3 linked regions of the Sus scrofa genome follow. The protein of the gene in region 3 interacts with the protein of the main gene of each other region in a pairwise test. Links are inferred from orthologs where the notes say so. Each region holds a gene or a part of one and is shown on either strand. Other genes may lie near its edges. The genes, in order: ARNT, FGFR4 and MAP2K3.

Region 1 (3,606 bases), on a different chromosome or scaffold from region 3:
CAAATACTGCAGTGTACTACATGACCCGCATTTGGTTGAACTGTGTATACATGGATGGCCGACTGACTGTAAGTTATACTCAGATTTTTGACTCATCAGAAAATCAGCACCCCAATCCCTGCATTGTTCAAGGGTTAACTATATTTCATTTGTATGTTTCAAACCTTTTGCTTATCTATTTATCAGTTGATGGATATTGAGTTGTTTACACTTTGGGCTATTAAGAATGCTGCTGTGAACATTTGTTGACTAGTTTTTGTGTGGATATGTTTTTATTCTCGAGTATATACATAGGAGTAGAATAGTTGAATCACATAACTCTTATGTTTAATCTTTTGAGGAACTTCCAAACTGTTTTCCAAAGCTGCTATACCATTTTACATTCTTATCAGCAGTGTATGAGGGTTTCACTTCTCCACATTTTTACTGTCTTTTAAAAATTGTATCTGTCCTTGTAGGCGTCAGTTGTCAAGGTACTTCTTTTCTATTTAATCTGTTTAGAATTGGCCTTTAACCTATCTCTTGAAGATCTCATAAATAATTAGCCAGTGTGAAAATATCTGGTGACAACATTGAATCTGTATCCTCCAGTTCAACTTTTAGGGCTTGTAAAATTTAATTCTTTGCTAATTAACTCAGTGTATAACAGAGTGGATTGAATTAAAAATTTTCATTAACTGAGGACTCAAGTCATTGTAGTTTGTTTTTTTTTTTTTGTTTTTGCCTCTTTATATTGCAGAACAGTTGTTTTGTGTTTTTGTTTTGTTTAAATTGAAATGTTTAAGTGTTTTTAAATACTCGTCTCTGGAAATAATGGCTTTTCCCATTTTTACATACTACAGTTTTTCCTACCACAGTTAGTTTAATTCATTCTTAATGTTTTTTTTTGTAATATTCTTCATAGAAAATTTGCAAAGTATTAAAAACAATAAGGAAAAGGAAAAATTTTTTCACTGCACAGAAATAGTCTTTGTTAATTTTTAGTACTTTTTTTTTTTTGGTCTTTTTAGGGCTGTACCAACAGCATATGGAAGTTCCCAGGCTAGGGGTCTAATCGGAACTGTAACTGCCGGCCTACATCACAGCTACAGCAACGTGGGATCCGAGCTGTGTCTGCGACCTACACCACAGCTCACAGCAATGCCAGATCCTTAACCCACTGAGTGAGGCCAGGGATGGAACCCGCATCCTCATGCATTCTAGTCGGGTTTGTTACCGCTGAGCCACAATGGGAACTCCTGTACTTTGTTTTTTATTTACACTTTTAAAAAACACAGTGTATTGACATGCAACACACACATACACAGCAACTAGGTATTGAACACCTAAAAGGAATTAGAATCCAAAGAGGATGAACCTTGTGCCATGAAACATAGTTTCTGTTTGTACCACGTTGTCCATAGTGTGAATTATTTGTTGAATCTGAGGTTATAGGTTACTTATAGAATTGGATTGGAAAGGGGAATTTATCAGTAATTACCCACCTACAGGTGAATCTGTAGAGTTTTATGTGCAGAATCAGATACTTTTTGTTTTCTTTGTTTCCTCTACTCTTCATTTTCCCAGGAACTCCAGCCAGGAGCCACGGCCTACACTGTCCAACACAATTCAGAGGCCACAGCTAGGTCCCACAGCTAATTTATCCCTGGAGATGGGCTCAGGGCAGCTGGCACCCAGGTGAGAAATGGTGGGAAAATCATTTATTGAGCAGTGACTGGCCTGGGGGTTGGCAGTCTATGTTCTTTCTCATTTTTTATTTATTTCCTTGTTTGTTTTAAGCTCTTTCCCCAAAAATGTTTTTTTTTTTTTTTTTTTCCCCCCGATTTCTCTCTTCACTTGCCTTTAACATATAGGCAGCAGCAACAGCAAACGGAATTGGATGTGGTGCCAGGAAGAGATGGACTAGCTAGCTACAATCATTCCCAGGTTAGTATGTCTTCTTTGATGGATGGTGAGCATTTCCTTAACAGATGTCTGCCAGAGCCAATTAGAGTGTATGTGTGTCCTTATATGGATTTTAGGGTTATTGAATTGTCATGTTAAACCTTTCATTTTTATTTTTATCATTGTGTTCCACAGGTTTCTGTTCAGCCTGTGACAACCACAGGGCCAGAACACAGCAAGCCCCTTGAGAAGTCAGAGGGTCTATTTGCCCAGGATAGAGATCCAAGATTTTCAGAAATCTACTCCAATATCAATACAGGTATGTTTCTTCCTCATTCTCATTTTAAATTCTCATTTTGATCACTTACTGATGGGCCTGCAACTGCCCAATCAATAGTCTCCCAGCATATTTCCACTTAATTCTAATACCTCATAAATAGGAACTTGCTGAACTAATATACTACAGCCCCTTGACTGGCCCTCCCCCAACTCCTTTTGGTCCACAGATCAGAGTAAAGGCATCTCCTCCAGCACTGTCCCTGCCACCCAACAGCTATTCTCCCAGGGCAACACATTCCCTCCTACCCCCCGGCCGGCAGAGAATTTCAGGTGAGCCCCATATGTGTGTGCTGCTTTATAGGGCAATTGAGGGATTCAGTTACTGAATCCAAGTTTTTTTCTTCCCTAGCTTTCTCTGGTTATATCAGACAAAGCTGTGGAACTTGTAGGACTAGGATGAGACAAGTTTGCTTTTTGTCCCCCTTTTTCTTTGCACCTGTCCTGTTGCCATGTTCTAGGTTCCATTTCTGTGTATTCTGATCAGTGTGTGACCGTCAGTCTTTCTTGTCTTTTCCAGGTTGCGTTATCCAGTTTTCCTTAACCCCAGGGAGTCAAGGGAATCTAGGAATAGCTAGATTGTCCTGCAATTTCTGGATTTTATGATAAACCCATCTTTTTAATCCTTTACCTCACTATTTGTTCACTCCTAGAAATAGTGGTCTGGCCCCTCCTGTAACCATTGTCCAGCCTTCAGCTTCTGCAGGGCAGATGTTGGCCCAGATTTCCCGCCACTCCAATCCTACCCAGGGAGCAGCCCCAGCGTGGACCCCTAGCACCCGCCCAGGCTTCTCTGCCCAGGTAAACCTTTTCATTTATCTGTCCTTCGTGTATTTTGTTTGTTTGATTAGGTTTTTTTTGCACATGTGAAATTATTGTTGTCTGTTTTAGACACCTTCTCCCCACCCCATAGCCCCTACCTTCCAATTTTTATTTCTGTTGGGAGCAATTAGATAATTAAAAATAATCCAGATATCTCAAGAGTCTGTGGTTTTCACATTCACCTTAAATTAGAATTGCTCACAAACATATTGATTAGGTTTGAGTTCCGCATTTGTTTTGGAGTAAATCCTAAGAAATTTTAGACTTTGGTTGGGGCCACAAAATAGACCAGGGAGAAAATTAATTACTAATTTATATACAGTGATGTCTACGAAAAAAAATTGTTGAAAAATCTTCACAAAATGTATAATATTTAACATATGTTAAGGTTAAAGCTAATATCCTTTCGTATGTTGATATATACTTATATTGCATAGATTTTATAAATATATATATATATATATATTTTTTTTTTTTTTTGGTCTTTTTAGAGCTGCACTCGTGGCATATGGAGGTTCCCAGGCTAGGACTCAAATCAGAGTTGTAGCTGCTGGCCTATGCCAC
Region 2 (4,225 bases), on a different chromosome or scaffold from region 3:
TGAAGAGCCAAAAAAAAAAAATCTGAAATATAATACAAGGCCAAATATCAGCATCTGGATGTTATCTGATCTGATCCCCACTCTTTAGCGCATTGCTGACATTTCCATGACCAGCTTTGGACACCTCCAGTGGCAGGGCACTCACTACTAACAAGGCAGTACGTTTTATGGCAAGTGGAAGCTCTCTCTCTTTTTTTTTTTTGTCTTTTTAGGGCCACACCCATGGCATATGGAAATTCCCAGGCTAGGGGTCGAATCAGAGCTACAGCTGCAGGCCTACACCACAGCTCACAACAAAGCCAGATCCTTAACCCACTGAGTGAGGTTACGGATCAAACCCAAGTCCTCCTGCATACTATAGTCAGGTTTGTTACCGCTGAGCCATGACAGGAACTCCTCCCCCCCGCCCCTTTTAAGGCCACACCTGTGGCATATGAAAGTTCCTGGGCTAGGGGTTAAATCCAGGGCTAGGGGCCACAGCCATAGCAACACCGGATCCGAGCTGCATCTGTGACCTATGCTGCAGCTTGTGGCAACAGCAGACTCTTAATCTACTAAGCAAGGCCAGGGATCAAACCTGCATCCTTGCCGACACTCAATATGTCGGGTTCTTAACCCACTAAACTACAAAAGAAGTCCTCTCTCCTGCAAGGCATGCAGAAGTTTCCGGATCAGGGATCAAAGCTAAGCCAGAGCAGCAGCAATGCTGAATCCTTAACCCTCTGAGCCACCAGGGAACTCTCAGAAGTTCTTTCACACTCTGAACCAAAACTGCATTCTGGAGATACTTCTGTTTTCTGTGCTTCCACAACTCCATCTGAGGCAACACAAGCTCTTGTAAAGGATGTACACTCTAGTGTCTGACAGAGCCAGGATCAAATCCTGACTCTTACCAACTTGCAAGTCCCTGTCCCTCTCTGGGCCACTCTCCTCCCAGGACTACTTTGAGGATAAAAGAGAATGTATGTAGGAGGTGGGCACACATAATGTTGGAATGTTCTCTTCTCCATCTGCCTCCCCATGATTGTCACCCTGGGTCTGCCCTTGGCCAGGGAAGTCACCTCTCTCTGTGGTGCTACTCACCTCAAGTGTGATGTACACACACACACCCCATCCAATTACCCTCCTCCAAATGCTACCAAGGATGTCTCCATCCCCCAAGAGGAACACTCAAAACCGAACCTCAGCCAGGGCAAAGGAAGAGGGTGACCAGTGTAGTTCCAGGGGCCTACCAGCTATCACTTGGGGCTGGGTAACAGGTGGTGCTGGTGTTTCTGGATCTACCTTGCCCAGGAGTCCCATCGCACCCTCTCTACTTAGCCTCTTTTCCCTCTTCAGCTCTGCTTCTGAGGCAAGTGGCACTCGGTGTGTCCTGGCCAAAGTTATTATCTCCCGCTTCAAACTGCTCCTTCCCTGAGTTGCCTCCAACTGGGGCATCACTTTCCAAACGCCTCTCCAGTCCATCCCTCTTCCCCTGCTTGAATCTAGAGCATGCCACGGTCATCTCTAGCTTGGACCTTTGCAAACATCTCTCTGGGTTCTCCAGCAGGGCTTCAAAAATGACAAGTCTGGGAAGTTCCCTGGTGTCCTAGTGGTTAGGACTCTGTGCTTTTCACCAGTGTGGTCCAGAGTTCAATCCCTAGTCTGGGAACTGAGATCCCACATCAAGCTGATTAAAAAAAAAAAAAAAAGTCTGTCCCACCCCAGCTTACAAGCCCTTAATGGCTGTCTATGTGCAGCAGGACCCAGTCCACACTGTTTATCCAGCATCCTAGGCCTCCCTCCATGCCCTTGTCCCTATCTTTGGCTGCACATTCTGCTACTTCAGTACTGTTAAACCATTAGTTTTCAAAACTGCACGTCTTCTCTCTTGCCTATACCTCCATGCTCCCCATTTCTCTTTTCCACATAGCTCAGAAGACACAATTTCCACTATCTCTGTGCCCATCACTGGCTTCCATTGCCCTTCCTCTGTGAAATCCCCTCACCCTGCTCTGCTCTGCAGAAAGGGCGGCTCTCTAGGTTGGGAGTGGAGTGGGAGGCCCAGGGATTTTTATCCCACCCCCAGGCTACCCTGACCTCAGAACCTTAGTCGGGTCACAAGGGGCCGCTGACCGACGGCCCAGCACGTGGGGCCGAAGGGCCTGACTCTGGCACAAGTAGTCTTGTGTTCTCCAGCCTCTCGCACCCAAGCGCTGGGGGACCCTGGACAAATGACTGCACCTCTCAGAGCCACAGCCTCCTTATCTCTACTCGGAGCCCGCACACGGTCGGGGACAGAGGGACCAGGGCGCTCTTCCTCCTCCACCCCAACCCAGCCTCGCTGGGGGCAAATGCCAGTCACGGGTCCTGAAGGAGAGCTGCAGAGACAGCCGGCCCGCCCCCGCCCCGGTGGGCAATGAGTAACCAGCTCCGCGGCCCGGGTGCTCTTTGGACAGAGCGGGACAAAAGGCCCTGTGTGCGCTGCGGGTTACTGATTTACCGTCCCCATCAACCCCCCCCGCCCCCCCACCGGCTGAGCGGACGCCTAGGTCCTCAGTGCTGGGAGGGGTCAGCTCCCAGTCCCGCCGCCGCTCGCCCCCTGGCGGCTGGGAGCGCAGCCTGGTCCCGGCTCACCTCGAACCTCCGTGGACCCGCTTCCAGCACAGGGTTCCGACTCACCTGGGTCCTCTGCAGCCCGGCTCCCAGCTTCCACCAGCCCCGACCCCTGCGCCCAGCGGGGATGGCAGGCTCAGCCCGGGAGCTGCTCAGCCCCGGGCGGGAGAGCCAGGAATGCACCCGCGACAGCGGCGTGGCCGCGGGGCGGCCCAGCGCCCCGCCCACCTCGAGTTTCGCCTACTTTGGGCTCCTCCCCTCCTGGACCAGCTCTGTCCTGACAGAGACTGGGCCGGGAACAGCCCAGTGCCCCGCCCATCTCGGGCCTGGCCCCTCCTGGACCAGCTCCTGACAGCGGGTGGCATAGCGTCCCGCCCACCTGGAGACCAGTCCTCGAACCCATCAGCGCCCCGCGGCCTACGGGGCGGGGGAACGGGGGGGGCGGGGGGGCAATCCTAGCTGGCACATCCCTTCCGATTCTGCCTTTATTTGCCTCACCCAGGCCAGGCTTCCAAGTTCTAGTCCATTGCTCCACCTCCTGCACTTCATCCCTCTGGGGACAAGACCCAGCAGTCCTGACCCGCCATTTCCGTAGACTCTGGCTTAGTCTGGCTCCTTTGTCTTCTGCGCAATTGTCATACAGTAGCTAGTAGACCTACCCAGCTTGTACCCCCATCCGTTCTCTGAACAACTTTCAGAGTGATTTTTTTTCCTTTTTGGCCGCCTCCGGCCTGTGGAAATTCCTGGTCCAGGGATCGAATCCATGCCACAGCAGCGACCCAAGTCACTGCAGTGACAACGCAGGATCCTTAACCCGTTGTGCCACAAGAGAACTCCCAGAGTGATATTTAAAATACAAATATGGGAGTTCCTATTATAGCCCAGCCATAACAGTAACCTGACTTAATATCCATGAGGACAGGAGTTGTATCGCTGCCCTTGCTCAGTGTGTTAAGGATCTAGCGTTGCCTCAAGTTCTGGTGTAGGTCGCAGATGTGGCTAGGATCTCAGGTTGCTGTGGCTGCTGTAGCTCCCATTTGACACCTAGCCTGGGAACCTCCGTATGCTGTGGGTGCAGCCCTAAAAAGACAAAAGAAAAAGAAAAGAAAAGAAAATACGACTGTATCAACCACAGCCACCGCTTTAAAACTTTCCAAGAACTTCCTATAGAGATTCTTGGCCTGACCTGGCCCACCCACATCTTCAGATAAAGTCTTCATTCACTTCCTCCTTGCTCCCACCGCTACCTCCGGGCCTTTGCAAATATAGTTCCTCTTCCTGGAGTGATCTTTCCCTCTAGATCTGGTTAGTTCCATCTCATTCTTAGGTTTCATCTCACTTCCTCAGAGAAACCCTTTAAATTTGTCAGGTTCCTCTTCCAGGTCTTTGCTCCTGTGAGCATGGGTAGTGAGAAGGGAGTGAAGTAATTCAGAGCAAAAATTGCAGGACTCAAAGCTCAGCACCTTCACACATGGACTTATCAAGTTACTCCATCCCTGTGTCTTGATTTCCTCATCAGTAAAACAGGTAGAATGACAGTATCATCCTCAAGAAGTTGTCACCAAAAGCAGACATGTTTTCCTCATACACTGTTGGTGGGAATGTAAAGTTGTGCAGCCACTGTGGAAAA
Region 3 (4,057 bases):
GCAGCAGACCCAGGCTGTGCCAACCCAAAATGCCCCTGCCCTGACCCCGATCTAAGGTGGCATGTGGGCGAGGAGGCCCCGGGAAAACTGCAGGGCTGTGGGGCCTGGGGACTCGTCCTCTCCCAGGAAGCTCCCCAGGCCTGTGGCACAGAGGGCAGGGCAGGAAGCTCAGCGGTGACGCTCTCCAGGGTCAAGTGCTGACCACACCCTGCCTGGTCCAAATTCCTTGAGAAGGTGACAAGGAGGACAACACTGTGGCCTGTGCCCAGGGTGGGGAGGGCTCCGTCCAGCCACTCCTCCTGGCTGACCTCAGTTTTGTCACCTGTCAAATGGGTCAGACTGCAGGGAGCATGAAACATGCCAACTGTACAGAGCTGTGCACGCGGGAAGCATCTCATCTGCTCCGTCCACCCTCCAGGTCAGGCGTGGGCTGGAGGAGATGCCTCTGGACAGAGGTGTGATTGGGGGGGGGTCCCCCACCAGCTCAGCCCAAGCATCCGGCACAGAAATGGCACGCCCCCAGAGGAGCACTGCAGAGACACACTAGGTCCACTGCCAAAGCTGTGTGACCTCGGGCAAGGCACTGAGAGCCTCTGAGCCTCAGCTTCCCTGACGGCGAAGAGCACTGTGGACAACTGATGGCGCAGCACCTGGCTCATGGGAACGCGGGTGTGTGGGAGCTCTCGGGGCCTGGGTGAGCGGCACGGTGGCTTCCCCACTACATTTCGCCCCGGACCCCAAAGAGGCTGACGAGGTCCCTGGGCCTTGGGGAGGCCCGACCCTCCATCCAACCCACCCAACAGCATCTGTTACCTGGACTCCCACACTAAAATCCAGCCTGGTCCCCTCTCTGCAGAGGCTCAGAGAGGGCGGCACCTCAGCTCAGGTCACACAGCACGCGCGTCTGCCAAAAGTGCTTTATCCCTTCACACACACGAGCCCTCTCCCTCCGTAACTATGCAACCTGCAATTTTTACTTCGACGAGGGTTTCCCCACCTGGAAGGACCGTCACAAACAAACACGGCTTCCATCGTCTTCTCTCTGCCCCTGAAAGACACTGTGGCCCAGAGTGATGCGTGGACCTGCCCCGGATCTCACAGCCCTGGCCAGGCCAGGCCTCGACCTGGAGCTGGGGAAGAGAAGTGCCCGATTTCCCAGTTCCTGAGCTCCACGAGGTCTGCACAGGGCACATCCCTCCCCAGCCATCTCCCCCTCGAGTGCCTCCTGGGTTACTCACAGCGGTTGGGCAATGGTCAGGGATCCGGCCTCCCACTTAGGTAAGACGTAATTACCCTGCCCACCCGGCCGGCTGGGCTCCGGCCCACAGCCACCGCAGCCGCCAGGAGCAGGGGCAGGCAAGGACCCACACCCTCGCCAGGACCCCACAAGCCCTCCAGCTGCCTGCCCCCCACACACACACACCCAGAAAAAGAGAAGCAGGGACAACCCCTGATGCGGGCCGCTGAGCTCCAGCTGTTGCCTTTCTCCCCCTCACTCTGCAGCTACAATCCAAACAGAGGCAAAGCCTTGATCCCACATGGCTGAGGCCTTTCCAGCTAGAAAAACTGTGACCACGCGAGCCCTTCGCCTCATCACCCACACTGGCCTAAAACTCTTCAGGGTTCACCGTCTCATGCCCAGAGTCCACAGTCCACGGAAGCAGGTGTGATAAGGACACCGGGGCCCAGAGACGCTCCTGCCGCTGGGATGAGGCAGCAGGCTGGGGGGGCAGCCCATTCATCAGGGCTGTGTCCGGTTTGGAAACGTCTCACGCAGCCCAGCCCGCCAAGACTCCGACAGGCCAAAACATCCTTGCCTCTCCCTGCCAAAAAAATCCCCCTTTTGCCCTCCAAGTCTCGTCCTCCCCCTCTGCATGACAAATCCGGCCGCCGCAGCCGCCACCTCACAAAAATTTCCAGGAAGGCCGGCTACTTGGAGAAGACAAGAGCAAGCCCATTGCACAGCCAGCACCCGGCCTGGCAGTGGCCCAGGACCCACAGGCAGCGGGACAGACCTGGGACCAATCAACCCTGGAGACATGCGCAGGAGAGGGTGAGCTCCCTGGTGCAGAGGAGGCTGCAACTCGGGACAAGGCGAGCCCATGAGAGGGGGCTGTGCAGCAGAGCCAGGTGGGAGGCTCAGGGAGGTTCCCAGGGAGACAGGGCTGCAGGGCGGGATGCAGGCAGGCCAGGGAGCGCACAATGTGGAGCCTAGGAGGATGGAGCGCGGTGGGGGTTGGGGGGGAGACGGGGAGTTCTGAGCTGGAGCCTAGCCAGGGCACCCACACGGGAGATCCCCAGCAGGGGGCACCGCTGGGGCCCAGACGTGGAGCCAGTTAAATCCCAGCCTGGATGCAACCCCGGTATCCAGAAGTGGAAGCGGGCTGGGCGCGGGCTCAGAGTGACTCCCACCTCGGTCCAGCTGAGGGACCCGGATTGGGAGAGTTCCTGTCCAGGGTGCAGTTAAGGCCCAAACCGGGAGGTCAGATGGACGTTCCTGACCCGGAGCGGGGTGATCAGGACCAGACCCCCGCCTGAGTTTGGGCCTGGGTGCAGCCCCAAAGCCTAAAATGGGACCCAGTCGAGGTCCCAGGATGGGCGCGGGACCGAAGAGCGAGAGGTTCGAGGCCGGGCCAGAGGACCGCGCAAGACTCGCGTCTGCAGTCCAGGCGCTCCTACCTTTGGGCGGGGGCACGCCGGCGGGAGGACTCGCGGCGGGCGACTCCATGGTGCAGGCGGGTCGGGGCGGCAGCGGGATTAGTCCAGGGGGCGACGGGCTGGGCCCGAGCGGAACGCGCTCATGGCTGCGGGCGGGCGGCCCGGGCGGCGGCCAGGGCGGCGGCGAGGACGCGACCGCGGCAGGCGGCGGCGGGGCCAGACTGGGCAGCGCGACTGGGGCCCCGGCCGGACGGCGCCGACGCAAGCCCCGCCCCGCACCCCCATTGGTCCTCCGGTCTCCGGGGCCCGGCCCCTGCCTATCAAACGCGGGCCCGGGGCTGCCCGTCAAGCTCAAGCCTCGCCCTCCGTTGGCCGGGGATGTGGCTCCTCCCACCGCCTGTCAAGCCCGCCTGCCACCTGGAAACCAGTCAGGCTCCGCACCCCCGCCGACCAGGCGCAAGCCCCGCCCACCCGGACTCGAGCCCCGCAGTGTGCGCAGCGACCGGGTGTCCCCGGCGGCCTGGCGGAGGCCCTGGGGAGCAGGAAGGCGGGTGCCGCCGGTGGGCTCGAAGTGCGCCCCGGGGGTGAAGCTGGGGTCAGATCCCGATTCGACTACTTCATAGCGGGGCTGACCTGGGCAAGTCAGGCCACCCGAGCCTGTTTTCGCGTCCCCGCCTCCCGGCGCTGCTGGTGGGAAGAGACCCTGGCTTCCACCGACACGCAAGAGGTGTTTGTTGACTGAATGCCCGGCGTGCGCATGTTTATTCCGTATTCAGCAACGGCTGGGGACACAAAGGCCGGCTTGGTGGTACCTGGGGAGAAGTCAGCAAACGTCGGTAGCTCTGAGGGCTGTGTCCCCTGCCCCCGCCCGGTTCTACACGTGCGGAAACAGCCTTAGCGAGTAAGACGGCATCTCAAAGCATTTCAGCCAAGGTCTAGTCCTGGCTCTCTCCCACGCCCTTGATTCCGTCCCTCCTCCTCTCGAGGCCTCAGTCTGCTCATCTGTATAATGTCCAGTCGGGCCGGTGCCCTTTCTGCTCCCACGTGGGAGCTTGGGATTTCAGGAGCCACTGACCAAGCTGGCAAACTGGGACCAGGACTTGGATAGCCGGCCTGGCAAAGGTCACAGGGTCAGCCCCTGGCTTCAGGCAGGTATGAGCGTGTGACCTGCCAGGCATCTCACGTGAGGGAAGCAGATTCCACCACCTGCTAGAAAGGCGTGGAGCCTTCCTGCTTTTAAGACAGAGGTGACCCTCGGGGCCCACCCACACAGTCAGATGAGATAAGGGGAGGCCTACTAATTATCATTATTTCCTCCTGTGTCTCTGGCTCATCTTTCCCGGCAGTGGGCAGAAAGGCATGAGCTATGGACTCCTCAGGCTACGGGTTCAAATGCCAA

The links.
Region 1: the proteins of MAP2K3 (region 3) and ARNT come close enough for resonance energy transfer, tested with the Homo sapiens proteins (2 studies listed by BioGRID). The link is inferred for Sus scrofa from reciprocal best matches to the Homo sapiens genes MAP2K3 and ARNT.
Region 2: the proteins of MAP2K3 (region 3) and FGFR4 come close enough for resonance energy transfer, tested with the Homo sapiens proteins (2 studies listed by BioGRID). The link is inferred for Sus scrofa from reciprocal best matches to the Homo sapiens genes MAP2K3 and FGFR4.

The regions. Positions count from the first base shown.
Region 1 is NC_010446.5:98,381,946-98,385,551, forward strand, and holds part of ARNT (aryl hydrocarbon receptor nuclear translocator), read left to right. Parts: intron 1-1,566; coding exon 1,567-1,677; intron 1,678-1,853; coding exon 1,854-1,926; intron 1,927-2,079; coding exon 2,080-2,203; intron 2,204-2,390; coding exon 2,391-2,493; intron 2,494-2,873; coding exon 2,874-3,021; intron 3,022-3,606. UniProt on the Homo sapiens protein: Required for activity of the AHR. Upon ligand binding, AHR translocates into the nucleus, where it heterodimerizes with ARNT and induces transcription by binding to xenobiotic response elements (XRE).
Region 2 is NC_010444.4:80,850,960-80,855,184, forward strand, and holds the start of FGFR4 (fibroblast growth factor receptor 4), read right to left. Parts: upstream 2,833-4,225; 5' UTR 2,662-2,832; intron 1-2,661. UniProt on the Homo sapiens protein: Tyrosine-protein kinase that acts as a cell-surface receptor for fibroblast growth factors and plays a role in the regulation of cell proliferation, differentiation and migration, and in regulation of lipid metabolism, bile acid biosynthesis, glucose uptake, vitamin D metabolism and phosphate homeostasis.
Region 3 is NC_010454.4:61,395,195-61,399,251, reverse strand, and holds the start of MAP2K3 (dual specificity mitogen-activated protein kinase kinase 3), read right to left. Parts: upstream 2,884-4,057; 5' UTR 2,729-2,883; coding exon of another isoform or gene 2,680-2,728; intron 1-2,679. UniProt on the Homo sapiens protein: Dual specificity kinase. Is activated by cytokines and environmental stress in vivo. Catalyzes the concomitant phosphorylation of a threonine and a tyrosine residue in the MAP kinase p38.